Alligator mississippiensis: one gene and its partners. The protein of the gene in region 1 interacts with the protein of each later gene in a pairwise test. Links are inferred from orthologs where the notes say so. Each region holds a gene or a part of one and is shown in the gene's direction. Other genes may lie near its edges. The genes, in order: CTBP2, TSHZ3, BAZ2B and ZNF750.

Region 1 (7,926 bases):
TACTTTTGGTAAAACAACTCTTCTAATCTGGGTTATACACTATACTGGAATAAAGGAGCCCTTTTGTTTCTTCTTCTCTTAACATTTTTAAAGACACATTCCCATTTTATAATTGATCCCTGCATAAACAAACACTTTGGAATAATTTTAGCAGATTCTGCACCCTACATTTGATCCTGAATTTATTTTGTAAGATTTTTTTTTTAAATTCATAAATACTGTGGGCCAGATCAGATAAAATGGCTGTGTGCATCGCACAACGGAACTTTAGAACCTCATCTTGGGAGTCTACGGTCTTCCTGTTCAGGGGGCAGGGATGAAAGGGGAGGCTGGACATCTCAGTACAGGATCCAAACCAGCCAAAATGCTGATTGGGGCACCACTTATCTTGAGCTGGCCAATGGGCAAACATGGATGACAGGACCAAGTCCTAAATCTTGCCCAGCAAGCACTTTATTCAGGGCTGCAGGGAGCTGTCTAGCTGACCACTCAGGATCTACAGTGCTGAACTTTCTTCTGGGTATAGACATGTTTTTTTGTGAAGAACTGAGGGCTTGTTCATTTTTTTAGAGCACACTTGGAGGAAGAACAGAAGATGATGTTGCTAAAGCAATGATTCTCAGTGAGGGTGATACAGCACTCAGGGCATTTTTACACCTGCTCTAGGGTGGGGTAGGGGATGTGGGGGGCATTTTAATTAGAACGGCTCTTGGGAGCAGGGTTTGAATTACACTTGCAATCTTGGGGGGGGTCTACAAAAAAAATTGGGTTGCCCATCATGGTGCCCTAATAAAATCAGAGACCCCCCCAGATTATGATTTTCAAAGCTTACCAGGGGGCTCCTGTCTCTTATAGGGGTGCTAAGCCCCCACTCCTCCCCACAAGCCCCACCATAATTTGAACACTTCTTGGGAGCCACTTTAACAAGCTTTAGTTAAAGCGCCCTCCCTGCCATTTTGAAATGCTGGGATGCAGAATGCATGAGACACTGCAGCATGCTGGAGCTTCCTGATTAAAACGCTCCAGCAGACTCAATTAATCGAGCATGTGTATAGGTGCCTTCAGGTATGTTTTGAAGCCTTTAAAGGGTGCCACAGTGTGCCAGGTAGTGTTAGTACTGTTAGGTGTGTGAACCTACATGATACCCAAGATAAACCCAGAGATTTCAAATAGGAATCCATTGTGTCAAAAGCATTTCTTAGCTGCTATGGTCTGAGTTCTTTGCAACAGAAGAATTGCTCTATTATTTTTCCATAGGCTCCAAACAATGAGCTAAAAACTGATATTTTCCAAAGGCTGCCGTGTGTTTGATGAGGGGTGCCATGAGTCTAAAAAGGCTGAGAACCACTGGGCTAGGGCACTTTTCCAGTTTCAATTATTTTACATCAAATGGGTTTTTAGATAAAATATCAGAACAGCCAGCTACTGTTTTTTGAGAAGCCTGATCCTGTTGCCATGTGCTAGGTTTAATCTAGGAATGCCTACTGGGTTGAGCCTCTCGGGAATTTTAGACGGTGGCCTGCTCAGGTTCAGGGTTTCTGTTCAGGTTGAGGCATGAGCTAAGTGCTGACCAGTAAAGTCATGTCAAGATGGGGAAATTCTGGGCATGCACAAATGCAAAACTCTTGGGAGCTGGGAAACTTTACTGTAAAAATATAAGAAACCTCAAGTATCTAGGCTCATCCAGAATAGGGGCCTTCAATACTGCAGCTTGAACTTAGGCATTTGAATTCTGCATAAATCCCACTTCAGGAACATAAAGCTCTTCTTGGATCTGGACAGATATCTTTTTCCCCAAAATTCTTTCATATTTGGAAAATCTGAAAAATGTGTACTAGTAACAAGAAGTAATTTGTGGAAAAAATAATTGACTTCACCTGATGTTTCCCATATTTCCCTTCTTAATTTTGAAGATACGTGTTTTCATAAGAGCTTTCTTTCTTACAACCTGGCATCTAATTGCTCTTCCAGTGAAATAACTATTTTGTGTTTATGACCTCAGCATATGTTACCAACCACATTTATTTCATAAACTCAACATTATTTATTCTGAATTATATTATTGTTGATTCCTGCAGCACCATAGATTGCATGGATGGTTTTGTGCAAACGAATACAAACACACATGAATTAGCAGTGAGAGAAAGCAAAACAAGATGGTGAGTATGGTTGAAAAAAAATTGTTAAAATACAGCAGGCAGATGCTCAGCTGGTGTAAGCTGTCATAGCACCATTGTGGGACAGTTTACGCTAGCTGATGATCTACCCTTAATATTTTTGATTGCCAGCAGAATTATTAACAGTGAAAAGACCTGAGATGTATTTGATGGTCACTATAAAATACTGTTCTAGAGTGCTAGAGCTTTCTCTTCATGGAACTTTCCCAGAGCAAAACGTCTAAGGCAGGGAACTGGGTCAGAAGTTGTATTTTGCTAAAATCTGTCCTGAGGCATGTAGTTGGAGCCAGTGTAATTTTGAATCTTTGGCTCATGGCATGATTTCCCAATTCTTTTCATAACTGCCAACAGCAGTAGTTTATTTCCAGCTTTCACTAAAATAACAATAGAATTAACAACAAAATGATATAATAATAAAATTACACGATTTGTTGCAATTGGTAAAAGCATGCAATAAAATCATACTTCCTACTAATTTAAACACAAGTAAAACTGAACATGATATATGATGATACATAAAAGAAATAAAATTATGCAATATAAAATAGTGGAATAAAAAATTAGAAACAGGGAATTGTATTTGATTTTAGTTATTATTCTTTGTAAAAATAGTGCAAATATACCTATGAGATTCCTTGTAGCATTTTTGTGAAAGCTGTAAATAAACTACTACTCCCAAGTGAGTAAACTGTCATTTGCATACAAACATGGACCTTGACCCTCCAAATGCTTAACACCATGGGTAATTCTGCTGAACTAGGGTTAGTAACACATTCAAGTGGTCGCAGGAATGAGGTCTTGGTTCTCAGCATCAGGTGGTTTGAATCCTGGTAATGGGTACGATGTTGAAACCTAAAAAGAACCTACAGTTTACTGATGAGAAGCATTTTATACGTTTACCTTGTAATTCCTGAGATGAAAATCAAAGTATCCTTATGAATTTCGATGGATAAATGGTCTGGTTCAAGGTTTTTATTTGACTAGAAAAGGAATCTGTTTTTTCCACTAGGATTGAAATTCTATATGATTGGATTACATATGATATGGAAAGCCCAGCAGTTATATAACAAAAAGATAAGATCACCACCTGCCCACATCCTTGTGATAAGCAAATGATGAATGTCTGTCAAAACCTTAATTCCCCAAAATATAAGGTGTAACGCAGAATACAACTAAATGCCTGTTTGAGTGTTTTTGTTATCTCCCATTCAGCCAAAAACCACAACGTGATTATATGATATTCATATCAAATTTGGTGCTCAGTGGGCGTGCATGCGCCAACCCCTTTCTATTTAAGATGTCAACAGAAGGGGCTCAGCATGTCTGGTGGCCTTTATCCTAAGTGCCCCCCCATCAATTTCAAATTACATCTGCTCTGTATGGAGCAACAAATGTGTGACACACTCAAATGATCTTAGGTGGAAAGAAACATTGATGACTCTGAGGGGTTTCCAGGGGTAACATGGACTTCACGCGCATGGCCTAGACCTGAGCAGTGCTGGCTGCAGTGCTCATTACGGAAAACCTTACGTGTATTTTGCAGACTAATATCTTAAAACAAGCATGAGAAGCCCGTTACAGCTTCATGTACCGTCAGGCACATATTTCACTGCGATGCTGACAAAACCAGTGGTGAGTCCTGCACGGCTGTTGTGACAATGCACACCTGGTTGTGGTGCTCCTGCTGTGTCTTAGGCCTTGCACCCTTCACCAGCTTCCCTGGGGTCACTGCTGAGGTGCATGCAACCAACACACATGGGCTGCCTCAGCACCCCAGTATCCCACCACAGTGGCCCAGTGCCAGGCCACACTTATGCCTCAGTGGAGTGGCTACAATTGGTCAAAGTCAATTTTTTTTAATATAATTTGCATCTGAGGCCAAATTAGCCAAAACTAATTCCAAATCCAAAACCATAAGTGGCACTGCTACCTGCAAACATCCTCCACCCGCACCTGGGGTTTTAGATGTTTCCGAAACCTTTGGCAGGCATCCTACTTGCAGGCTTGGGGTTCGGATGCCCCTGACTTTTGCTTGCCCTAGGAACAAGTAAGGGAGGAGACTCCCATCTCCATAAACTGGTACCGAACCATGCCAGGAGAGCAGCTCTGCTGCCAGGGGGTTCAGGAAAACTGCCTTCTTGGACACACACACACACACAGAGTATTATTTCCCCTGCCAGGTTAAGCAACTGCTATGCTTGATCTGAGCCTTCAAGAGGCCAAGAAGCAATAACCGAATGCAGCTGAACGTGCCCCCGAATCCCCCTTTGCAGGGAGCGCAGAGGCTTCTGCTCCAGGGGGCTGCCTGCCAGGCCCTCGGTCTCCCAGGGATGAAGAGCCTGGCCATGTCCGCTGCAGGCCGCAAAGGGCCAGGGCAGGGGAGCGGGCACACCAGGGGCGTGGGGAGGGCGGCATCGCCCACTCCCTTGCAGTTTCCAACTTGATGTGCCAGTGGCGGAGGTGGGAGGGCAGGGGAGCCCCCTTCCTCTCCCTTCCTCCTTCCTCCCCTCCTCTTTCTTCCTTGCTGCGTCTGTTTGTACTTTAGCTGATCCACTAATCCCCGGAGAGAGCCTATTTGTAGTGAGGAGTATCTGTAGGGGGCGAGGCCGGTGCATGTGGGTTTGTGTCATTGGTTTGCAAGGAGGAGACCCCGCCTCTTGCCAAAAAAAAAAAAAAAAAAAAGGAGAAGAAGAAGAAGAAGAAGAAGGGAGCGAGCGGGGAGGAGAGGAGAGGAGAGGCGAGGCGAGGCGAGCGCTGCCCCCCGCTCGTTTTCTCCCCCACCCTGCAGCTCCAAGTTGCAATTGGCAGCGGCAGCATCCTCCTCCTGCCGCCCGCCCAGCGCCTTCCCCGGGGCGGGAGGAGGCGGAGGCGGAGGAGGAGGCAAAGGGGGGGATTAAGTTTTTGTGCGGTGCGTGTGTGTCATTTTAAGGTGGATCTCCGGCAGCCGGAGCCCCGCGGGGCGATGCAGCGCTGAGCGCGGGGCCGGCGCTGCCCGCGGATCCGAGCACGAGGTAGGGCTGCGGCTGCGGCGCTGCGGCTGCGGGGCTTGGGGGGCCGGGGTTGCGGGGGGGGCCACAAATAATCCGAGGACATCTTTGGCCGCCTCCCCCTTGGCTTTTTGTTCGGCGGGAGGCGGGAGAAGTTTGCAGCTGCCCCCGGGCCGAGGGGAGCGGGAGCCTTTTGTTGTGCCGGGCGCGCATTGTTGGCTGGGCGAGGGGCAGCATCTGCCGGAGGATTAGCGCGGGCTGCCAAAGTCTCGGCCGGGAGGAGGCAGGGGGAAGGCGAAGGGGAAGGGGCGGCTTCTCTCCTTCCCATCCCATCCCATCTTCCCTCCCTCGCCCCGGGGTTTGCTCCCGTCCGCGGCACTTCCCGCCGCACTTGCAGCAACAATGGGAAAGTTGGGAGCCGTCCTGGCGCGAACAATGGGCAGAGTTGTTGTGCTCGCATTATTCCTCAGCGCTGGGCGCGGAGGGGCCGGCGGCGCTGGCCGAGCGGCCAGGGGGAGGCTCCCTCCCAGGGCAGGCGTGTCCGGGAAGGCAGGCGCTGGCAGCTCCGCGGTGCAGGCCGTGCCGGCCGCCCTCCCCCTTCGCAGTGCTGAGGGAGGGGGGCTGGAAATGCAGCCCAGGGCCACGAGTCGCCCCTCATGGATACACAGGCCCTGCAAAAAAAAAAAAAAAAAAAAATGAAGATGCAGCCAGTCACTTAGCAACTCCTCTGGCTACAGTAGAGATTTGTGTGTGACAGCACCCCGCACCCTCCCCAGGCATCTCCTCCAGGCTGTGTTGGAAGAGAAATCTAGTGCTTTTTCACTAAGCCCGTGTTTAGCAAAGTTGAGCGGCTGTTTTCCACTGCTGATTTCCAAGAGAGCAATCCCCCTTGTCCCGCTGCACAGGAAGATTTACCTGCTGGTGGAATCACCTTAACTCCTGGTTTGGGGGGGTATTTTTCTTCCCCCCCCTCGTGTGTGGTGGCTGCAACTAAATCTCTCCCTTCATTGATTCGCATCTCTGTGCTGTAAAATACTCTTCCAGCTATTATTGTTTTGCCCACCCCCTTGCAGGATGCAGAATTGTTACTTGCATGCTCTGGACTTTCGTATTTGTTCCCATCACACCAACAAAAGCAAAATTACGTTTCTCTGAGCATTTTCAGAGTGGCAGCGCTAAAGCGTGTTGGTTTAAAGCTCGTTACGCGGTATAATTTGGTCTGAAAGAGCTTATTCTTTTAACAAGAACTAACTGCGTGTGGAGTAGTCTTTTGTCTTTCAATCAAGATTGCACTCCTAAGGTAAACCCTGGCTGTGGCTTAATGTTTGATACCCTGCCTGATGCTGAGGTGTTCTCTTTATTATGTAAAGGAGGAAAGTGTAAGGAGATGAAGATTTCAAAGTAATACAGGAAAAGTCACTTCTTTCAAATGTGCTTATAATTGCCATTGAAGGTGCATGCCACCAATGAATGCATGTAGCCCCAATTAAACCACTTTAATCATTCACACTTGATCAAGTATAACGTGACCAAACAAAAGAAATAAGCATTTACAGTTCTGTAATGCATTGATTGATATTGTATACCTGCTAATCATATATTTTTGGTAATGGTTAATTACCTTTCAGTAGAATAAAGGATGTCTACTGCCGATTAGTTTTAGTGACCACTTATTTCTCGAAAAGGGGCAGTTTACCAGTAGGTATAAAAGTGTGGTTATTGCAGATATTTAGAGCTTAGTTTATTTAAGGACAGTGAATAAAATACATGACAGACAGTATATCCAGCGACAGAATATTTTTGTTACTGTTTTCTTCACATAAAGGTGATGACCTGCTTTAGCATTCTTTAAAGGTCCTTTTAACAAGCAAAATTGAAGACAGTCTCATTATAGCAGTGTGTGTTCAGAATACTATGAGGCGTTTATGAATGCAGAGGTGATTGTTGTATCAGAGACATTTCAATTACGCATACGCCAGTAAAAATTTTATTTGTAATAATGTCATGAGTGTGTGTGTTGTAATCTTTTAGTATCATAAAGCTGATTTGTCTTTAGTCTTCACTGGGTTGGCCAAATAATGGGTGGTCATACACAGTATTCTGGTTTTAAAAGCTGGATTTTTATTTGGTATTACCAAACTTACCAGAAGAACAGTTTTGAAGTGAATATAAATGCTAATATAGAACAGCCTATTAATATTTGAAATTTTCAGTGAAGACCTGGTATTGTTAGTGCCGGACAGTATTTTTTAGAAAGGAGGTTTTTATTTTTGAAAGCTTTTGCAAAAACACACCTGTTAGTCATTAGTGAGGTGGGGGCTTAGCCAACACAGATGTATGTATAAGGCAGTAAAAAAAAAAAACAAAAAAAAAGTGCACTCAGTTACTTGGTTGATTTTACTTCCTTTTATCATCACTGAGTATACAATCTTACTTTTAAAATTTAGGATCCAAATCATTCCTAAAACTGAATAAGTATAGTTCATCTAGTGAGAAGGGAAAATATGTACATGGTTTGAAATAAGAGCACAATACTTTTTTTTTTTTTTTTGGACAAAGAATTTAGGAATTACGTAGTTTGTTAGTACAGAGAGCAGGGTTATTGCAAAGCTCTATAGAGTAAAAAATCCCATTTTTCCCTTTTACAATCAAACCTCAAAGCTTTTAAAGCCAGTTTTCTTTATGGCATATGCTATTTAGAATCCATGAGGTTCAGCTGAATAGGATACCTCACATAGAATGACATCCCACAGAGTTCTAGT
Region 2 (6,988 bases), on another chromosome or scaffold:
GCCTAAGCAGTAATGTGCGACCCTTCTTAGATGCTTTAATTCGCTGTCCCTAATGACATTCAACTTGTGAAGACCAGGTCAGTTAGGGTTGGTTCTTTTGCCTTTATTTAAAGAATGAAGCAGCCCAAATTAGCCTGGTATTAACAAGGAGGATGTTACTCGGAGTAAATGGAAAACATCCAAAGAGCAAGCAATTTACACCTCGTGTTTGAACCTCCGAAAGCAATCAACCAATAATAACAAATCAATCTCTGCAAGGGACTACACACACGCACATACACCTAGACACACACTTCTGCCCTCTTGATTCCTAATGAAGGAGTGCCCAGCTTTAACACTTTGCTTAAGGGAGGAAAAAGGAAACAGAAATAGCATGTAACATGTTACTTTCTGAAAGTCATTTTCTTCTCCAGCAGCTCTTTTAAGTTTAATGAAGTTGAATATTGATCTCCCTCGTTTATTAGCATAACTAATAGTTTATTTCAATGGGCTTTTTATCGGGTCAGTATGCTACCCCCCCCTTCTTTGATTCCTGTTTAACGGACTTGTTTCTCATACCTCAGTCTTTCCTACAGGAAAATGAAATGATCAGAGAAAATAGGCAGCAAAGAAGGCCATCAAATGAAAACGTCCAGCTATAGCATTCCTAAGAGATGTAAAGTTCAGAAGTGGCGGTTATCTAATTATGGAACTTTTCTTAGAAATAATAGTATCTTTATTAAACCTCCGGAAAGAGCTAGCTTAGGGCTGAGCCTTATGTGCTTGCTGAGTCCTTGTGGTTGTAGCCTGTAGAGTCATCGATTTTATGCATCGTGTTTGTAAGTGTTACACTTAATAAAATTACGGGTTCTGCTCTTCTGTAATAACCTGTGACCCCAAAATAAGCTGACGCACTTTATAGAATCTACATTTTAGGCTGTAATTCGTCTGATAGAAAGTTCAATAGCTGTTTCTTCCTTTAAATCGAGAGAGTTAATATACCAAATTACCCTACAACTTGCTGGCTGTTTTGGCAGTTTGTGCAATGCGTGGGTCTATACACATATGTCGATACGTATGTATCTATTCTCTCTCACATGACTTACTGTTTCTACTTGACCTGGGAAAAGTCCACCGACTACTGTTTCCAAAAAGTTTAGCTTCCAACGTTAAAAAAGGACTGATCTCCAAACGGCCCGTTTTTACTAGATTATTACCCCTCTAATGCCATAAATTGCTATTGGCCCTTCTAAAGAAAGGGTGAACTTGTAAATATTTTAAAACAAACCTCAATATATAGCACTTGCTCTGGTTTTCTTATAAATGTCTCTCTTAAGTGACATCGCTTAGCTTCTGCTGTTGCAGTTTGCTGGCATCTTCCAAACATTTGTGTATTTATGCCTGAGTGAAAGCCGTTCTGTGATCTCTGCTTTGTTAAAATATAGATGTTACTGAATTAATAAATGCATGCATATGTGTAGAGAAGAGTACAACTTGAACAGGAAAAAAAAATGTCAGCACACACATACACCCAGTCAGAGTCTTTAGAGGCGAAGAAAGTAAAAGTAACTGCGATCTTGCAGAACCGCAGTACATAAAAGACATTAACCCTTTTCTCTGCATAAGCTTTTTCGAGTCCTTGATCCATCATCCAGGACCCTCAGCCATGTACCGTGTAGTCAAAGCAATAAGGCTCTATTACATCATGCACATTTTATGCAATGATTGCAATCTGTGAATTTGGTGAAAGATGAACAGAGTTGGGAAATAAGAAACTCCTTGGTACTTGCAGAAAATAGTGATTGGCCACTACAGCCCTTGGTTCAGGGTGCTCTGGTGCCAACTAATAAAGAATCCAAGTATTTTCTGAATTACAGGGTGGATCTTTCACATCTAAAAATAGCATGAAAAGAAAAAAAAACCCTATACTTCTACTTCCTTTTTTAATTTCTTTAGCGTTTTTAATTCATGCTTTAAATGTTGCTAATCTTAATCCCCCCCTCCCCCCAATGAAGTAGTCGGTAGTGCTTCTCTCCAATTCAGGAGTATAGTGCCTGTGAAAGTTTGCTGTAGCCTCTCACGTTGCAAAGCTATGTGAAATACTCCATCCTGTATAGTGTCTGTTGCAGAACTTCATTTGCCTTGGCTTGCAGTCATTTAAAACTGCAGTTTATATATTACTCAATCTCTCTGCTTTATTTGATACAGATTTAGCGGTTTCCCCTGAAGAAATAGAAAATGCATCTGGTCTAAGTGCTTAACACGCTGATCCTGCCCATTCCTGCAGTCCGTCTGCACTGCCTTTGGCAAATCATGTATCCTTTAGGATTATGCTAAATTATTTAGGTTTCCTATTTCCTAATTTTAATATAAAGAGGAAGGGGGAGAAAAAAAGGGAGAATGAGTTATTAATTAAAGCCTAGTCCTCTATGTTTCCCGAGCCTGCCTAACATTTGTAAATACTTATGCCGCGGCTGATCCACTCCTTCCTGGTTAAGTTGTTTAGTATGTTAGTTATTTGTATTGAATCACAGGCTATGTTATGTCTGATGTGTTGTCGTTGCAATGTGCAGTCAGTGTGACACTGATGGATGCGCCAATGGTTAGACGGACAGATGTTAGGGCGGATCTAACGGCATGCAATGCCATAGCAGCAGAGAGAGAGAGAGAGAGGGAGAGGGGGAGTGGGAGAGAGAGGGAGACTGGGCTAAAAACATCCCGATTCAGTGAAAGTCGCTTATTTCTGGTGCAAACAACGCAGTCACACACACATTCACACACACACACACACACACACACGCAAGCACACACACACAGGATTTTGGGGGGAGTGGGGTAACGCTTCAGTGTAGTCTTAAGCAATGTGATCGCTGCTTCTGCGAGCAGAGACTGTAACTGTGAGAAGAAACCAGCAAGTATCAATGAAATGGAAACTGAGCGAATTTGGCAGCAGAAGCGGCATTTGACAACTCACCATGATCTTGTTTTCAAGACATATTTCGTTTTCCCCCAACAGTAGCAATTTCCCGGGGACTTTAGGCGACTGCGATTTTTTTTTTTCATCCTAAAGACCAGCTTTTTTTTTTTTCTCCCAATCAACTCCTAACCACCACCATCACAACAATCTATATCTATATAGATAGATAGATATGTAACTTCTCCACCCTGTCATGAACGTCCTGCAACTTGAAAAGAAAAAGCAAGAGCAAAAAAACAACGTCAAGGCGGCTGCAGGAGACGTGGAGACGCAACAACATCTGCACTGAGTCAGGTATTTGGAATTATCCCAAATCTTGAAGAATGGGGGCGAGTGGAGATTTTTTTTTTTTTGATCTTACCGTCCAAATGAGATCATCCTTTTTTTCCTCCCTGTGAACTTTAAAAAAAAAAGGAAAAGAAAGAAGAAAAAAAAGAAAGAAAAGAGGGGAAATTATTTGCTACTGGTGTTTGCTTCACTTCTCTTAAGTAAAGAAGGCATCTGGGACTTAAGGCGATTGGCTGCGATCTGCTGAAGCTGTCATTACATATCTATCAGCCACACAAAGGACGAGAGGAGGGGGGAGGAGGAGAGGGGGGAAAAAAAGAAAAGAAAAGAAAAGAAAAAGAAAGTGCAAGTGGGAGCCAGGAAGGTGTTTGGCAATCGCTGCTGCTCCATGTTCGTCAAGCACTTGAAACACTGCTCGAGTCCATCCCCTCTTTTTTTTTTCCGCCGCACATTATTGCAGCCCAGGAAGACACAATCAAACTCGCAGCGCATCGATTCGCTAAACCCGGGATTTCACCAATGAACTTGGACCAAAAAAATTAAAAAAAAATAAAAAGTGATCTTCAAAAAAAAAAAAAAAGCAACAAAAAACCCAAACAAACCCCAACAAAAAACAACCACCCAAGAGTTGGTGCGTGCATGGTGCGTGCGGGAATCGCGGCCCCCTGCCAGCGAGCCAGCGCCGCGGGCCGAAGGGATTGGGGCGCCTCGGCGAGGTGAGCGGAGCGGAGCAGAGCGGCCCCGCGGTGCCCGGCGGGGGCGGCCGCGCGGGGCTGGATGTGCGCTCGCGCCTGCCAGCTCCCCCGAAGCCGGGCGCGGCGGTAAGTTGGGCGGGAGGAGGGAGGGGAAGAGAGGAAAGGAAGGAAGGAAGAGGTGGGTTGGGTTGGGTTGGGTTGGGGGGGAGCAACTCCCCTGCGCGGGGAGGAGAGTTTGTTTTTAAATCCTCCTCCTCCTCCTCCTGGCGCCGCGGCCCAGGGCAGCCCCGGGAGGCTCCGGGGGCGGGAGGCAGGGAAGGAGCGGCCGGGCTGCGGCTCCCCCGCCCCGGCCTGGCGTGACGGATGCGCTGTCACCTGGAGCCGCGGCCGCGCACGGGGGCGAGGTGCGGGGCCGGGGCCGGGGCCGGGGCCGGGAAGTTGCAGGGGAGCGGGAGGCGGCGGAGCGCGGTGCCCCTCTCCCTTCCCCGCCGACTAGTTGGAGTGACACTGCGATCGTCTCGTTTCCCTTCAAGCTGTGCCTGTTGCCGCCGCCGCGCCAGCGCCAGCGCCGAGCAGGGAGCCGGAGGCAGAGCGGGAGGAGCGCGGACTGAAGCTGGGCCGGCTCCTGCCGAGACACCCCCCCGCTTTATGCCGTGATCTCCGCGCCCGGCCGGGCACGGGGTGCGGGCGGGGCGGCGGCGCTGCGGGCTCTCCCCAGCCCTCCCGCTCACACACCTCTTCGGGGGGCTCCCCCTCCTCCTTCCTCCGGGCCGATTTGTCAAACTTCCCCCCTCTTCTGCCAGCAGCAGCAGCAGCAGCAGCAGCAGGGCTGTCCTCTCCTCTGTGCCGCCTCCTCCGCCTCCTCCTCCTCCTCCTCCTTCTCGGCATCGCGTATGCCCAGCCACACACCAAATCTCTCCCCAGCCCGAGCCTGGAACAGCTCACCGGATCTGTGGGGCTAGAGCAACTCTTCCCGGCCGCCGCCGCCGCCGCTCAGCATGCCGAGGAGGAAGCAGCAAGCGCCCCGGCGCGCAGCAGGTACGAGAGCCGCCTTCTTCCCTCGGTCTCCTCCGCAGCCGCTTGCCAGCGGGCAGAGCCACTTGGGCTGGCGCTCGGCTCCCGCCCGGCCCGGCCCGCCCCGCTCCCCGGCATCGCACGCTGCCCGCCGCGGATTTTGCGGAGTAACTCTTGGTCTGGCAGACGCAGCACTTTGCCTGGGCGCTTCTCTCCTTCCGGGGGGGAGGGGGGCACCCTAGTCCCTTTCCTACTTCGGTGCCGACTTCCCGGCTCCCCCATTCCCCCCCGGGTCTGGGGACCAAGCTTGTGAAGGGCAGGGATGCGGCTCTCTCTCTCTCTCTCTCTGTGAACAGCGTGTGTAGCTTTTCTATGGGAAGGAAGGAAGCAAGGAAGGGAGATGTGCTGCCCATTTCCACCCCCTACTTTGGCACCTACTTTGCTTTTTCTTTCTCTTATTTGTTATTCAGTCTCCACCTCCTCCTCTCACATCCATGCAGTTTTGTGGAAGCCAGCCATCCTCTTGTTTTCCTTCCTTTCTTTCTTTCTTTCTGCAGGAAAGACCTTGTAGGGATACGTGGGGGGTATTTGTGTGGTGCCAGGGACTGAAGATGTGCATTGTTGCTTTAACATCAAAGCCCAGGCTAGGCTCCTTCCCTCAAGTTTCTCTCTTTCCCCCTCTTCCTCTCGTACTGCGCTGGGGACCTCTCCAGCGCACTTCCACATCCCCCTACTTGGTCACTTTCTTTGGCAACCTCTTGTCCTAATCCCATTGATTTCTCATTTCTGAGCCCAAGCTGAGGAGCTGCACAGGAAACCAAAGCGAAAGAGTCTGTGTGTTGTCAGATGACTGGCAAGTGTCTTTGATGCTGATTTTTACATTCTCCTCCATTTTTAAAGAAATACTTTACTGGGCTTTGTCTGGGCTTTACTCTTGTGTTTGGTTGTGTTTTCCTGATGCCAGAAGTGTCAACTCCTGTTAAACACGAACAGCATTTTCTGGAAAAGCCAAATTGAAAAGCAAAAAGTAAAAGGAAAAAAAAAATGTTACAATAATCTTTACCTGGGGATATGTGGGCTGGAAAAGGGTTTCCTTGGCCTGTTGCCATCCTTGATTTGATGGCTGATTGATCACCTGTCATCTGGCTGCCTTTGATCTATTCATTCCCGATAAACATCAATAAATCACTTGCCATGGTAACGCCAGACTCAGTGACGTCACATGTGGCCTGTCAACTCTCTGTCAGTGCAACTTTAGGGGCTTCTGGCTAGATGTGTGACATGCTGGGAATCACAGGGGCGAGTATTTTGGTGGGAATATTTAGATATGTAGAAATACAGGGCCTGTTTTCATTAGCGTAACAATTTGGGGAACCAGTAAGTGAAGCTTGAAGCATTCATAATTCTCACTTTAGGAGAGACCCATATGCAGTGCATGGATGGATGTGGGAGTTTTCCAAATGGTGTAGTAGTATTTTTAAGCAGTTCATTTAGGAGTGCATACTATAACTTAAATAAGGTAATCCTGCTACTTAACAGAGTATTGCCAAAAGCAGTGCTTTCAAAAAGCTGTGTGTACGTTCTAACAATATGACAAGTTCTCAAAGGGCCATAGTTTGAATTTAGTAAGAAGCAAGTAACACAACGAGTAACCGAATGTAAAGAACTCTGTCCGCATTTCATTCCCCACATCCCTTGATACCTATGTGAGCTGAACACTTTTTTTTTAAATAGAAGAAACCGTATGTTTTGCAGTAGATTGTGTAATCGTCGTCTTCTTCTGATAGTTGGAAAGTTTGCTAAGTTTTTTTTTTTCTTTTTTTTTTTTTGGAAGTGCAGTATTTATAAGATCTAGGAAATGCTACTGTAGCAAAATAATTTGCTTGAGCATTTTGACTTTCTATCCAGTGCCATCAATAAGGACAGTCTTCAAATGTGTTGAAAACTTTTGTCCTTTCAAAATACCTTGTAACAGCTAGGTTGTAACCTTAATTTACTTGCATGAAAATCAAGTTCTGCGAAGTTGAGCATATCC
Region 3 (7,484 bases), on another chromosome or scaffold:
ATGGATCTCCTGCCGGGTTTTAATGTGGCTTGGCCCATCCACATAAGGAGATCAAACAAAGTTACACACAATGGTACAGTGTATTACCAGTTAAAACAGCAGTACACAGTGTTACCACTGTTAGAGTTGTAGTAGTTTCAACCAAAGAAACCACATAAAATAAATGTGGACCAAATTTCTGCTAGAGACTAGACTGACACAAGGGCTCACAGGGCTGGACATATAAGCAGAACATGATTTTTCCACAGACTTTTTAGAAAACAGACAGGGTGTTAAGCTCTTGGGGACAGACAGTATCTTGTTGCATTTTTATATAGTGCCTAACTACTGCAAGATACTAGATAATATTGATTTAAATTACATTACAAAATCAAAAGTTTAGCATGTACATAAATAACATAGTTTCATAGTCCTTTATGGCCCTATAGGTGCAGGTGTTACATTTAAATGGACCTAACCATGGGAGATGCCATGCACTGTTGGACTGGGAAGGGCTGTGACAAGAGCAGGTGCTCCTGCCTGCTTTAGGCTTATCAGATTATCTCAATGCAGACAGCAGATCTTCCTGGTCTGGTTCTGCACAAGGCATATGGGGCAGTTGCACCCAATTATACTAGCAGTGGAGGCAGTGAAAGTGGTGTCAGCATCCATGCTGTGGCACCCCCTGAAAGGTTCTCGTGGCACCCAGGGTACTGCAGCATCCACACTGAGAATGACTGATCTTCTGGCAGCACAACTGAGTACTGCATGTTTACTGTGTTAATTGAAGATATCTTTAATAATCTTGGCCACTATGGATGAGATTTATTTTATGCCTTGGAGGCAACTTTTCTAGTGTTTGGTCTTACATGAAAAGTTGGAATCCAGATCTGTTCTGATTCTTTGGAGATTCCTTTTTTGACCCTTGGGTCCTATCTTCCCACTTGGCAAGTTAGGGTGTTTGGCAGCTAGAGAATCACTGTTTGCATCACTCCAACAAAATTTGCTTCAGAGGAGGGGCAGCAACAGATTGATCTCTAGCAATGAAACCAGAATTCCTCAGAGCCAGCAATTCACAATGATCAACAACACATCAATCCAGCTGCAAAGCTATTAATGTTATGCTTTACACTGTATGTAAACTGCATTGTGTTTGTAAAGATTCCCTGGCTTTGTGTCTTTCTAAACTCTTTGATTATAGTGAAAAGTAGATTCTAATTCATCTGACTACTCTAGGGTGACAACATAAAATAGGGGTGTAAAAGCATAAAGCCAGGAATACTTAGACATGTTAAACTGTATAAATAGCACTCAGAGAGTGATAGCATAAGCTCTGCTGTGCCAACAAGTATCTGTGATAAGAATAAACCCTTTAAACCCAGAGTAAATTTTCTGAACACAGAGAGGCTGTACTTTTCAACTGGTTTCCACTGTACTATTATGTTTAAACATAATGTTTTAAAATATAGGTTCCACATTATAATTGAATTAAATATTTAGTATTTTATTAAATCAACCTTTTTTTATTAATGCATGCTTTTCATATTAATGCTTCTATCCCTTTTCTCAGGTATTGCCAGCAATTATCAACATTTCAGAAAGGGTTTTTTGTTGTTGTTGTTTATGATTCTTTACTGAACCTTACTACATGTCAAAATTAAAAAAAAAAATTAGTACTAGACCTATATGCTTTGGAACATCATTGTGCACTCTGGGAATAGGCCAATGCTATCAAAAGTATAGGTCCTGACCTCTGCAGTGAATTGTTGATGAGCAGACTGTTACACCCATGTCCAGCCTCACTGAAATCTTTGTCTTCACCGGAGTGCTATGTGGGTGCAAGGGTCTCCACCGTCAAAGCTCATTGTAGAACTGGGAATGTCTAGGTGTGGGTATAACTTAATTCATGTAAGTAGTTTCATTGAAGCATCTGGCCCTGACCTTTCAAACACTGATGCATGCCCTTATCTTTAAGCATGCAAATAGTCCCAGTTAATTCAATAGGGTTACTCAAAGGTGTAAAGTTACATTTTTGTCTAAGTGTTCACAGTACTGGAGTCTTGGATTGCTGCATTACTGTCTTTTAGTTGTTGTTTCCAATGAAGTTTGTGACCATTTTCAATTTTGCATAAATTTATGATGCAAGTATCTAAAGAATTATTGATGATAAAGTTAATGAGCATGTAGAAAGGCAAAGGGGACTAAAAAAACCCCAGTGTTCTGAGATGCTGTTTTGCTTTTTTCAAATGAACTGAAATTTGGAACCTAAAAAGGATGTTAAGGCTCCTGCATTTTTGTTATTAATGAGTCATACAAGCAAACAAGCAGAAGAAACTAGTCTTATTTTTATTGTATATGTGGTAGAGTTTCAGTTTGCATATATTTTTATTGAGACCTAAAGTTTAAATACTGCCTTGGGAAAACCGGCCAAATTTTTAAGCTATGAACCTTTTTGATTTAATACTTAATCATTTTGAATGCATCAATAGATCCTATAACAACAGCTTCCATTAAGTAAGCAAATTAAAAGAATTTCTAATACTTTTATGAAACTAGTGAAGTGTTTACACTAGTAAAACTTTTTTTCTTGTGACAATTCTTACCACAGGTGAGCTATCACTGCTTTATGAAACACATTTTGCTGTAGAATACAAAGTACTATCTAGTGACCTAATAATCTTTTAAACAGCTAATTAAAGCCAAACTCAGTACTTAGCATTCCAGAACTTTATGAAGTGCCCTGTTTAAATCTTCAACAACAAATAATTCCCAATGGCTCAAACATGAATATTTTGCTAAACTTTATTTGAACAGAAGAAATATGGCATAGAAAGTAAGGTTCTGTATTCAAAATGTTTCAATTCTATGGCTATGGGCACTAGAAAAAGTTGAGATAGCTAACATCACAAAATACCAGTGTTCTGCTTTGTCTTGATGTTTTGGCATACTAAAAATTCTAAGTGAATCATTCTTTGCAGTTGTGCTAATAATAATAGATATTAGGATTTATATCACATGCTAATGGAAGAGATATATTAAATACCTGCATCACAGCAAGTACATTTTATATTGAGTTGTCTAAATCCATTGTTTATTTCCATGTGTTTTAAAATTCTATTATCTCTAGAGTGATAATATTTGTTGTCTTAGAAAATATATGAGTTTTTGATGAATAACATTAGGAGTGAAACATCTCTTTTATTGTATCCAGACTTAAATTCTTATCCCACATTTTTCTTCAAGAACATTATTAGTAAATTTTGAGGTTAGAGAAGTACTGACCCAATCAAACATGTACAGAGCTTGGCCTCTGAGTTAATTAAATATGGGTTAATAACATATTATAAGGAAATCATTGTCCTTATTACAGTTATTAGGTAGTTAGTCAAATTATAGCTTCAAAGGAATGCAGAGCATGGAGAACTCGGGATTAAATTATGCATTTGAACCTTAGGCCAGCTTTTACTGTTGAGACAGTTTGCTACTAAGAGAAATTGTGTGTCATTGAAATTAAATGCTTTTCTGGGGATGGAAGGTTCCAGTTTTTAATGAAATTACTGAGTGTGGTGTAGTGAAATGATTAAAATCTGTATTCCGGGAATGTGGCAGTGAAAAAATCAATAAATGCTAGCAAAGCTTTGCTGCTGGATGTGAATCCTGGGAATGAAATAAACTAGTACAAAAATAATAATTAAAAACATATCAGCACATTAATTTATTTAGCATCAGTCTCTTGAGACATCATCTTCACTAATTTTTAGCATACATTTTACTGTGTAATGAGAGCAGCTTTCTTTTCACATATCCCTATTAGACAGGCAGTATTTTTGCCCTTCCCCCAATGTTCCTGCATTGCAATCATTGTGCTTGCACTTATTATGTTACAAATGACCGAGGTAAGGCTGACATTCTCATTGCATGCAAAAAGACCTAGTCTGCCAAGCTTTTTTTTTTCTAATGAAGCAGCTTTGTGAAATCTCCCCATGTGTTAATACTAATGAAGATCCTCCAGCACAATTAAAATCACAGCCAGTGGCTGAAGAAGAAACACAAAACAATGGCATCTCTCTACATATACATATTTCTTTATGTTTCAAGCAGCTACATTTAGACGTAATTTTGAAATGATTTTTAGAATATCAAATGATTTTCTGTAGTGTTAATTGTGAAGCAGTCAGACACTGTATTTTTTAAATAAGAGATGCTTTATAGGAGACACCACAGTGAAAAGAGTTTTTAATTTCTTTTTCTACCTTCTGTGTGGGATTTTATTATAACTTAAAATCTTTATCTTTATAGTCTGGAGGAAGCAATTCTTTGTTTTTTGTGTACTTTAACCCCGGCCTTGCTTGACTCTTTGCCAGGGGGGGGAAGAGAGAGAGAGAGAGAGAGAGAGAGAGAGAGAGAGAGAGAGAGAGAGAGAGAGCGCGCGAAACCACGTGTGTAGTTTAAAGGGTTAGAGTAGGGAGGTGCAAGTATTTTTGCTGCTCTTCTACAAAAGAATCTATTAACTCAGTTGTTTCAGCCAGGGCAGGAATTTCCAGTAGACAAAATAAAATGCTAATATTTCCAGACATAGCGCAAAGCACTTAAAAAAAACCCAACAACTTTAGCAAATAGTTCTTTTTGAACATATGAATATTTATACACCTTGTATTTTTTATTTTTTTTTCTATTTTGTTGAATTTGTTTCCATTTGCACTGTGTTTCTTTTGCGAGACCTGACCACCGCATCCAGTATGACTTTCTGATGTGTTTGGTCTCTCACTACATGGACTCCTGGTGCTTTGGTAGCAGGCTGCCACTTGCACCCCGAGATCTTCTGGGGATGTAGGAGAGCTACATGGTTCAGTCTCGAGCAGAGCATAAGCCATCGTTCAGGACGTTTCAGGTGCTGTGCCTTCGCCTCCCTGTGTACGTTAGCTGCCTTCAGATCCTCCCGAGCGGATATCAAAATGCGTTGGGCTTTTTAAAACACACCAACTTTTCTGCAACTTTCCCTAGCCCAGAGCCCCTTGCCCGAGCGTGCGTGCACGGGGGGAGCAGGAATGCAGCGCTTCCCCCCGCTTCTTGCAGGGGCTGATAGGTCATTTATTACCGGGGCTGGAGCGAGATAAACAAGCCTCTCTCTTTTTGCCCCTCGTTAACAGCAACTTTCATTGTTGGAGCGAGAAGAGCCTTCTCGGTTGACGTCACTTTTGGTTCGCGAAGCCTTCGCCTGCAAGGGAGGCTGAATAAACCTCGAGGAGAGCAGCAGCTCCGCGCGGGCGCTGCTAGCAGGGGCGAGGGCGAGGGCGAGGGCGAGGCGGCCGCACCCGCACCCCCAGCCCGCCCCGGCGCTTCTCGGAGCGGTGGGCAGCCCGCCCACCCGCACCTGGCAAAGGGCAGCTCTGCCAGCCGCCAAGGTGAGTGGCAGCCGCCCGCGGCGCGCGGGTGGGGGCGCGCCCGCCCACCCCCCCCAGCCCTGTGCCCGGCCCGGCCCGGCCCGGCCGAGGGGTCCCGGCCGCCGCCCCGCTTTGTTGCGCGGGGGTGGGGGGGAGCGGCGCGGCTGCCGCCCTGCCAGGGGCCCCGCTGTAAACTTTATGCATGGCTGCGGGCGGGCGGCGCTGCCTCCGCCGGGGTCGCCGCTTTGTGCGGGCTGAGGGCGGCGGGAAGGTAAGAGGAGCCGGCTCCGCGCCGGCCCGGCCCTTCCTAGGGGATGCAGCCGGCCGGGCCGGGCCGGGGGAGCTGCCCCGAGCTCCGCCGAGCCGAGCAGAGAGGAGCGGGGCGGCGAGGCGAGGCGAGGCGGCTCCCGCCCTGCCGCTCTCCTTTGTGCGCGCCCGGCTCCCTCGCGCAGAGCCAGAAGCGGCTGCAGCCCTTGGCCGAGTTGTTGAAATTTATCCCTTTGTGTATATTACAATATCCTCCATTTTTCTGCCCTCTAAACAACAAGCCTTTCGCCATCTTGGGCAAATTTGGGTGGCCCGGCGCGGCTGTGCTGTGCTGCGCTGCGCTGTGGTGTGCGGGGCGCGGGGCAGCGGCTGCGGGAGCCGCGGGGAAGGCGCAAAGTTGAGGCGGGTCCAGGGCCCGACTGTGACGTCACCTGAAGTTGGAGGGGCATTTTTCCAGGAGCCCGGCGCGGTGCCCAGGGCGGGCTCCCCGGCGCGCGGGGCGGCCGCACTTGACGTGCACAGGTTGGTCGTGGGTCCGACTCCGCCGACTCCGGGGCTGCAAGGAAGGCGCCTCCTCCTCCACTGTGGGGTTTGTTTGGTTTTTTTTTGGTAACAGGTGGAGGAATATCTTTGCGTGACTCTCACTTTTATTCCATTTTTGCGGCCTTTTGCACAGAAATATTAATGTAGCCCTTTAAAAAACCAGAGTTGTGGCACAACATGAACTAGTACATCATGCGGGGATCAGCCATGCTACTATTTACAAGCGGTTACCTGCACCTCTTACTGAAATTTGCACAAGATGTTCAGTCCAGTTTTTTCCCGAAGTAGCGAGTGCCTGGCCTCTGGTTTGGGGGGGGGGGGGCTGGGAAATATGCTTTTTTTTTTTTTTTTTAAGTGCTCATTGCTCAGATATATATTTGCAACAAATAAACTCTTTTAATGTAGTGCTGGCTAAACATTTCCTTTTGGAAAGTACCTGTAGATATTACATGTACTTCAGAGGATATTACAGATGCTGGATTCTGTGGCTAGCAAAATGTAGTTGGCATGCTAAATTGAATTTTTCTTAATACCGATTACCTCTGGCTCTCAGCTCTCGTGTCAGCTGTTGCAAAAAGGGAAACAATAAAAGGTATTGTTCTTTTAAATTACTTCTCAGTGATGCTCTTCATCTCATAGAAGTTCTCTTGGTCACATGGCAAAACTTAGGCAAACCCTGACTACTTGATAAATAATAAGTACCATAAATAGAATGTTATATTTTAATTCCTTTTCCTGCATCAGTTTTACTTTTTACATATTTACAGTCATGCTAACAAGAACATGAAACTGTCTGTGTTTAATTTGCATTCCCTTTGTCTTCAGGGTTGGTAAAAACATTCTTTACAATTAACATAGAGACTAACAGGAACACTTCTAGTACATCAAGATGTTTTTTAGCAAACTCAAAATTGAATGATATATTTAACATATTTTTATGGTTGCATAGAAAGTAGGTTTTTATGTTAATAAATGTCAGCTGCTCACCTTAGCATGTTCTTTAAAAATGCTTTAGAAAGCCTAGCTGAATTAAATGTCTGCCAGTTATGTGAATCTTAGGTAGATGAAAATGTTTAAATAGTTAAAAGCACGTAGAACAGATGGTTCTAAATTATACATGCAACAAAGGCCTGGAAGATTTGGCAGATTATAAATGGTGAGCAACAGAGGATTAGCAGTTTAAGAAAATGGTAGTTAAGTATATTTGATGTCTCGCACCTATTGTAAACCGTGCGCACATTTTTGTCACAATGCTACATGAACAATTTCCAGGCAACATCAAGCAAATTGTATTTGTATTTGAAACCATTT
Region 4 (7,431 bases), on another chromosome or scaffold:
CAAACAGCTCACAAAGACTGTACAGATAATCTACCCAGATGTCTCTCCAAAAACCAGGAATTAGAAATGGTAAGGTTCAATGTTTTGGGGCACAATAAGACTGATTCAAATAAAACTGCACTATTCTGGGTTTGGTCTTAGGTAATGTAATTCAACCATGCTGATATGGACACTGAACCAGTGAATACTAATCTGCATCTCAAGAGTCTGCAGATATAAGAAAACAGAGTCCTAGACATGAAGCTTTGAGCTAGCAGGGTAAGATATTCAACTAAAACAGAGACTGATCCAATATTAAAATACAGCCAGTTTGACTGATTTTTTTTTAAAGCTGACAACCTTAGCAGAGGCAGAACCAAAAATTATTTAACAGTTGATTTGTTAGGTCCAGAGCAAACTGAGTTGTGAAACTCCTCCTTAAACAGTGCTATAAGGAAGCTAGTAAAGCCAGCAATTACCATAGGGAGAGAACTGCCCAAAGAGATGCAAGACCTTGGGGTAGGGTTATAAAATGGAAGCAATCCAGAAAGGTGAAAAACATAATGTTCAACTCTTTGCTGTGTCAACTTCCTTAGATTTTTTTTTAATGAAGGCAGCCCAAAGTTTTTTCACATAAAAACATAGGAAGGGAAAGTGATGTTTCTCAAATTAGCTACAAAGGGCTAAATTAAAAAACATAATCATTAGCTACCTAATCTTATGCACAGAGAAAACACCAACACCAGGAAACATAGACACCTCAAAGAAAGGTTAATTACTATAAACTATCAATGAACCCCAATTACCTCCATTAAATACCTATTTAACATTGTTAAGTCTGTTCTAAATTCCATTTCAGATTAACTGAAATAATTTTCTCTGTACCCTAAAAAGGGAAAGGACTTGGAGCTATAATTCCATCTTTCTGCAGAAAGAAAAGACATTAAAATCATAATAAAACAACTCAGTAATAAACAGCGTTATATTAATTCTGGAGATCGTTTCATTTTAATAGACTCTTGTGCTCACCCACATTTAAAGGATGTCAAACTGTATTAGATTTACCTAATAATATTAGATGCAAGTATGATGAATTAATAGAAAATAGATATTGATTACTAGCTTTTACTAGGTCTTAGTATACAGGAGCTATCCTATGCCATCAGTTCTACTAGGGAATCTATCCCATGAGTTAGTATTTCAGGTTTTTATATAATTCAACCAAACCCATAATGCCTCCATAGTTTGCTAAGCTTTCCCCTTCTGCAGCTCTACTTCAGCCATAGCTGAATTGGCCAATCTGCTTAATAAGAGACACTTCCAGGGCATGGCTACTATTTAATAAGCACCATATTATACCTAGACCCAGGCAGCAAGAGGAACTACTTTACTGCCTGCCTTAGACTCAGTCAAGAGACGAAAGTAAAATAAAACAACAGATCTTAAAATGAATTGCCCTTCTGTCTCAACTCAGTAAATGCCCCCTGTATTAACAACCCTTTCAAGAACTTCTGAAATATCCCAAGGACAATTTTATCTGATCCTAAACAAGGAAATCTATGACAGTTTCTCAAGAATCAAACAGGCAGCTTTCTGTTAATGGAATGAAAAGGGGGAAAAAAACATAAAATGGTGTCCTCCATAACCTGGAGAAGGGATAGAAGCAACAAACTAGAATGCACACTTTCAAGAAACAAAGTTAAGTACATTATTCATATCTGATTTCACTGTAACTATCTTGAAAGAATGGATTAGGAATATTACATAGTTGGTAACCCAAAAGATTATCTTCCAAAACTGTACACAACCGAGGAGGAAGCTGGAGGAGTATAAATATCCTCTATGACCTTCAGAGAAAGGATAAGGAATATTGCATAGCTGGTAATCCAAAAGATTATCTTCCAAAATTTTACACAACTGAGGAGGAAACTGGAGGAGTATAAATACCCTCTATGACCTTTGGCTCAAGGAAGATCTCAACAGTAACAAGGCACTGGTTCTCTGTTCCCAACTGATAAACTGCAAACAGGAAAACTTTGAAAACAAACACAAGCACACACTTTTCCTAACATAAGCTCTCCAAATAAGAAATTGTCTAATCTCTAATTGTCACAGAGATGTCATGCAACTGCAAAAGGAAAAGGAGGTGGTGCATGCAAATGTGAATAGAAAATAGAGACATCTACACATAAACACATCTATTAAGATGCATATGCAGCCCTAAAAAATGGTGAAATTCCCGACTTTTAAATAACCTTTTCTTGGGGCCTAATGTTTCACATCACATCGCTACCTCAAATAGGCTGGACTCTATCCCTTTTCTAAGCAAAATAATCACACAAGGGATCATACCTTTATATACAGTATTAAATCATATTTTTATGTGGTTTTATATTACATACAAAATACTGTTAGTTGTTGTTCCTTAAATGATTTCCTTATGTTGCAGTACCACCCAAGGACTAAATAAGAGTCAGCAACTGATTGTGTCAGATGTAGCAGCAAAAAGGAAGTCCATCCCTGGGCAAAAGACATTACAGCATAAAGTAAAATTAAATTCTCCCCTTTGTTTTTCATGTTGTTACCTTTACTATTTTGAAACATAGGGAGCATATCCCCTATAGTCATAAGGCATTCTGAATGCATTCTTTGTTATTCAGTAGCAAGAAAGAGAAGTCTACCTACACAGAAGAGTCTAGAAAAACACATAAAAAACTTTTTTTAGGTCAATACACTCAATATATTTTCTGCAAATGTACATCATTTGATTCTGGCAAAAGATTACTTACTAACAGTATCAGAAATTGAACCCCTGTATTTATTCCCATTTAGTACAACAAATTCAGTTTTATTGCATGGATAACCCAAAATGACGTGCTGAGAAGTTTCAAACTTGCTTTGTGAAGGATTACCTGTAGGTATAAGAGTCGTCTGAAGTCTGCTATCATCCAGTCTTGTGCCTCTACTCAGAATTCATGCAGCGAGAAGCTTCTACCACATCCTCCTTATACCTGGCCCGCTATAACTTTTTCCCTTACTTAAAGATGACTTGTACCTTTATTCCATATGGATCATTTCCAATTTAATCCATAGGAGATTTCAATTCAGATTGCTAGCTCACCTGGACTCAGAATTTAGACAACAAATGAAGGACCAACATAGTTGCTGGTGTAGAGGCATATTCCCAGAGTCCTGCCTGCATATGCTAGTGTTTAATATGGACTGCAGACTAAGAAATAGCACATACAGAACTAATTTGTCTCCATATTCCTATTGTAGAGATCTGAAATAATAGCACTCTTGACAGAGGGATATCTGGACAACAGATCACAATACTCAAATTCATTCAGAAACCTACACTGTGGCTTTTGACACAATACATCCACTATTCTCATCCCAAAATAAACTCTCAAAAATCAACAACCATGATGCTAGGGCGGGAGGAAAGACTGACACAAAATATTAGTATCCAGCCTGAAACTAAGTGGTTAAAATCAACATTTTTTAACATAATTCACATACAAAACCAAAATGCATAGAGAAAGCTCTTTCACTTTTCTTTTTACAAATAGATTCCACCTATATCCAGCTCTTATTCTCCTAAACCTCCGTTCTGACTGAAAAACTTATAAGTTTAATTGAGGAACTTATTTCAGAGAAAATAAGAGGCATAATAACGTTTTTAAAAGGGGATAAGTCATACAAGAATTTTATTTCCTTATTTAATAGTGTTGCAAAGAAAACTTTTAGATGTCTAGTTTAAATCTGGAGAATGCAGTAATACATTTGTCATATTTATAAAATCTAACTAAAAGCAGATAACCAAGAGGAGGTAATCTGTTTGCTCAACAGTTGTCAGGCTGGCCTGCAGAGGAGAGAAAGTGTGAATGCAATAATCAATTTCCTGCTGAGGTGACTCCTTTTCATTTACAGTATCCGTGCATTTGGCTGTTGATTATAGGCAAGCTTTGGCAGGTTCCTGTAGCAAGCAGGCTTGAAGTTAGTTCTGTCCCGCCTCAGCCAGAGTGGAGACTCGTGAAGGACAAAAAAAGATCTCAGTAGAAGTGAAGACAAAAAATAAGCAAGCATGTTAAATAGCAAAGGCATTCAGGCAAGACTATGGATTTTATAAAATTAAACACAAGTAAAATATTGCTGGATTTGTTGTAGTTTGCTCCACTATACATGTAATTTCTCCTACTGTTTACAAGCCACTTAAGTCATTAGGATGTGTCCCACTTAAAACTGATTTAAAACATCTTCAGCAAAACACATCTGTCACAATGTTCTACCCAGCTTAAACAGGAGACTACTACTACTCAGTAGCACAAACATGACAGTGCAGGAACAGAGAAACTTGCTTGTTGGAGGGCATAAAAGTGACAAGAGTTTTGTCTGATAGCTCAGATGCTGCTGAATCAAAGCGGTGGATGCAAACAAATGAATCGTAGCTTCAGGCTGGAGTAATATCAGGTGCATCTCTACACCCTGAGGGCTCAACTCCTACACTTTTTTAAATCCCTCCCACTGAAACAGCCTCCTTCAGTTTCACTTAGAAATCAAGCAGAGAACAGGTACTTCTCTCTCAGCACTGACAGCTACAGCTTAGCCACAGGGATCACCTTCAACATTTCATCCATCTATTTAACTAGTAAGTACTTTTTTTTTTAATAAAAGTAATTTAAGAATGATAGTAATGAAACTGACATCTAAAAAGTAATCAAATGTATTCGCTCATCAGCAGCTAGCACTTTTTTTTTTTTTTTAACTAACTCCAGTGTGTAGGGTAACTACTTCTAGCAGGTGAACTTATCGTAGAGTTAAGGCTTCTGTCAGAAAGCTCCAACAAGACAAACTGATACTTTATGAGAAAGAGAATAAATATCTTTCTCCCTCTTTCACCTGCCATCCCCACCCAGCTTCCCTCCTGAGACTAACTTTTCACATTGTGTTAACTTTTCTGATAAAAATATGTTAAGCAGCTGTTCAAACCAGTTGTTAACATCTTACCTCCACTATAATGTAAAACAGCACAAAAAATCATGAGCATTAGATACATTGTGCAAGTTATAGTTACTAAATAATACCCTGCTGACTTTCTCTCAAAATGTAACACTTGATTAATCTAAAAATGTATACAAAATAATAAATTAGGCAACTGTTGTATATTTTCTCCCTTTCAGCACATAAGCTCAGTAAGGTATTAGAAATTGCAACCGTTTGTAATCAATCACTGATATAACTTAAAATGCATTGACTTTACATACAAAATGGAATAATCTTCATTTTAAACATGCATCTCTGACTTATAGAAAGATTAATGATATAAGATTAGCTTTGTCTTTGATCCATTAACATTTTAAAGTTGTTAGAAATGTCAATTAAATTTGTTTTCTACAAAGTTTGGTTACTAACTTGTACTACTAAGCTGAGTTATTTGTGCAACTGTGATTCTTTTTTCTCCACCCTCCACCCAATATCTCTTATCTCATTCTAACTCTCATCCCACCCTCTTGCCCATGTTTTCTATCAGTCTTTGAATAGTTTTGCTAAAAATTATTTTTAAGTTTAAAACCCCTGAAAGTTTAAGAGGGAGTGGTAGTTAATCACTGGAAAATCTTAACTGGAATAAAACTCACAAATCTTGTTCTTGCAACACACCTGTTAGGTGACAATGGCATGTCCTTGAGTTATGCAATAATGCCACATCACAATATTTTAATTACAGCGTGCCCTTCAAAATGTTCCACCCCAATAAGTACTCCTGCTCAGAGAAATCAACATCACCATAAGGAATACTGCAACAATAACAAAGCCTGCACAACACTTGCACAGTCTGTCATAGCAATGCCCTATAAAGAGAGATTATAATTATCACCCATGTTTGTAATAAAAGAAATTCTGAAACTACCACTTTAGTAGATAAGACTTCTTAAAAAAAATCTAGATTACTCTGAACTTTAACTAACACATGCAAATTTACAGTATTCTTAATTTAAGGACTGGCTAACATACTACAAAAAGAAAGGTCTGGCAACAGTTTTGCATGTTTATAAATGAGACGAAGAAAACCTGTGGCCAACCGAAACTATGCACATTCAGGCTAAAGCGGGGGAGGGCAGTTATGCAAAAAAGACAGCCTAATACAATACAGCAAGACAAAGGTAGACAAGCAGTACACAAACAGCTAAGAGCGCTTCTGTTCTATTTAACCAACAGTAACTGAATATCCTATTTTCAAGTAAAACATTAGTACAGTTGGAAGCCAGGAAAGGGCATTTAGGATATTTATAAAATAAGTATAATTATCTGAATATTTAAAATCAAACAGTCAAAGTACAAATGAAATGAAGTGTAAAATACTTAAGTATTTAACGTTATAACATTGTTATGGAAGATTATAATGATTTTCAGATAATATACCATCATATTATTCAGGATTTTAAAAGGAAGACGATTTTTTTTCACTCATGAAAACTTCAGAACCATTAGTGTTAACAGTTTAGCTTTTACTTTCTCAGCAACAGCCATATATAGTACAACCATAAAGAAATTAATGCTTCCTATATATATGGTGTTTTTATTGTTTTTTAAGAGCTTGCAACTATTTTTTTAAACCATCTCCTGTTATTCCTAATGGTATTTGTGTGATCAAATAATTAAATTTTGATGTAAATACGTATCTGTAGATACTGTTATGTTTTTCTTGGAGACTGGAACTGAAATTTTGTCTTTCCTGGACTAGAAGCATGTTATTACTGGTATTTTCAGCCAATGGGATGAAGGTCAGTTAGAACAACTCGGGGGTGCACAACCAACAAAGAAGAGGGGATAGGATAATTGAGCTGGTAGATACTAGCTCAAAATTAAGAGAGGTAAACAGCTCAGGTAATGATCTGCTTATTCTTTGCCTATGAAATAAGGACAGCTGCTTCAGTTTGCACTGCTGCCTGTAGTTTTGATGAGTAAGAATAGCATTTAGGTAAAATTAAAAAACTTTAAAAAAATCTTGTAAAACTTTTTTAGCTGTCTTTCCTTAATAAACACAAAGCAAAGAAATTAATTCACCACTCCTATTACACAAGTGCTTAGCTTTCAAAGTGCAAAAATCCATTTGTATGTTCAAAATATCATAGTTCAAAATATTATTTCAATTATTTCTTTTTAACAGCATGGAGGAAGATGCACACAGGATCTTATACTATTAAGCAAAGAGACTCTATAAAAAAATAAAAATAACTAACATTATTTATAATAAAATATGGCATCTTAGAACACATTGAATAGCTTATTTTGACAACAGTCTCTCTTCCAACACAATTAGTGCCTGTACTCTCAAGAAAGCTCAAAGAAGAACTAGTACAAACTGACTTAACCAAGTCTATTACAAGCCCCCAACTTTAGTTATACATCATTAGTCAAAAATCAAATACAGTAAACTTATTACAGACA

Evidence for each region.
Region 2: the proteins of CTBP2 (region 1) and TSHZ3 interact in binary tests that used the Homo sapiens proteins (3 or more experiments, as listed by UniProt). The two-hybrid records come from large-scale screens. The link is inferred for Alligator mississippiensis from reciprocal best matches to the Homo sapiens genes CTBP2 and TSHZ3.
Region 3: the proteins of CTBP2 (region 1) and BAZ2B interact in binary tests that used the Homo sapiens proteins (3 or more experiments, as listed by UniProt). The two-hybrid records come from large-scale screens. The link is inferred for Alligator mississippiensis from reciprocal best matches to the Homo sapiens genes CTBP2 and BAZ2B.
Region 4: the proteins of CTBP2 (region 1) and ZNF750 interact in binary tests that used the Homo sapiens proteins (3 or more experiments, as listed by UniProt). The link is inferred for Alligator mississippiensis from reciprocal best matches to the Homo sapiens genes CTBP2 and ZNF750.

Annotation. Positions count from the first base shown.
Region 1 is NC_081829.1:82,165,147-82,173,072, forward strand, and holds the start of CTBP2 (C-terminal-binding protein 2), read left to right. Parts: upstream 1-4,907; 5' UTR 4,908-5,188; intron 5,189-7,926. UniProt on the Homo sapiens protein: Corepressor targeting diverse transcription regulators. Functions in brown adipose tissue (BAT) differentiation. Isoform 2 probably acts as a scaffold for specialized synapses.
Region 2 is NC_081833.1:58,808,073-58,815,060, reverse strand, and holds the start of TSHZ3 (teashirt homolog 3), read left to right. Parts: upstream 1-3,979; 5' UTR 3,980-4,065; intron 4,066-4,246; exon of another isoform or gene 4,247-4,343; intron 4,344-4,472; exon of another isoform or gene 4,473-4,742; 5' UTR 4,743-4,937; coding exon of another isoform or gene 4,938-4,977; intron 4,978-6,988. UniProt on the Homo sapiens protein: Transcriptional regulator involved in developmental processes. Functions in association with APBB1, SET and HDAC factors as a transcriptional repressor, that inhibits the expression of CASP4.
Region 3 is NC_081827.1:221,309,270-221,316,753, forward strand, and holds the start of BAZ2B (bromodomain adjacent to zinc finger domain protein 2B), read left to right. Parts: upstream 1-4,484; 5' UTR 4,485-5,384; intron 5,385-5,558; exon of another isoform or gene 5,559-5,634; intron 5,635-7,484. UniProt on the Homo sapiens protein: Regulatory subunit of the ATP-dependent BRF-1 and BRF-5 ISWI chromatin remodeling complexes, which form ordered nucleosome arrays on chromatin and facilitate access to DNA during DNA-templated processes such as DNA replication, transcription, and repair.
Region 4 is NC_081831.1:17,148,108-17,155,538, reverse strand, and holds the start of ZNF750 (zinc finger protein 750), read left to right. Parts: upstream 1-4,422; 5' UTR 4,423-4,630; intron 4,631-7,431. UniProt on the Homo sapiens protein: Transcription factor involved in epidermis differentiation. Required for terminal epidermal differentiation: acts downstream of p63/TP63 and activates expression of late epidermal differentiation genes.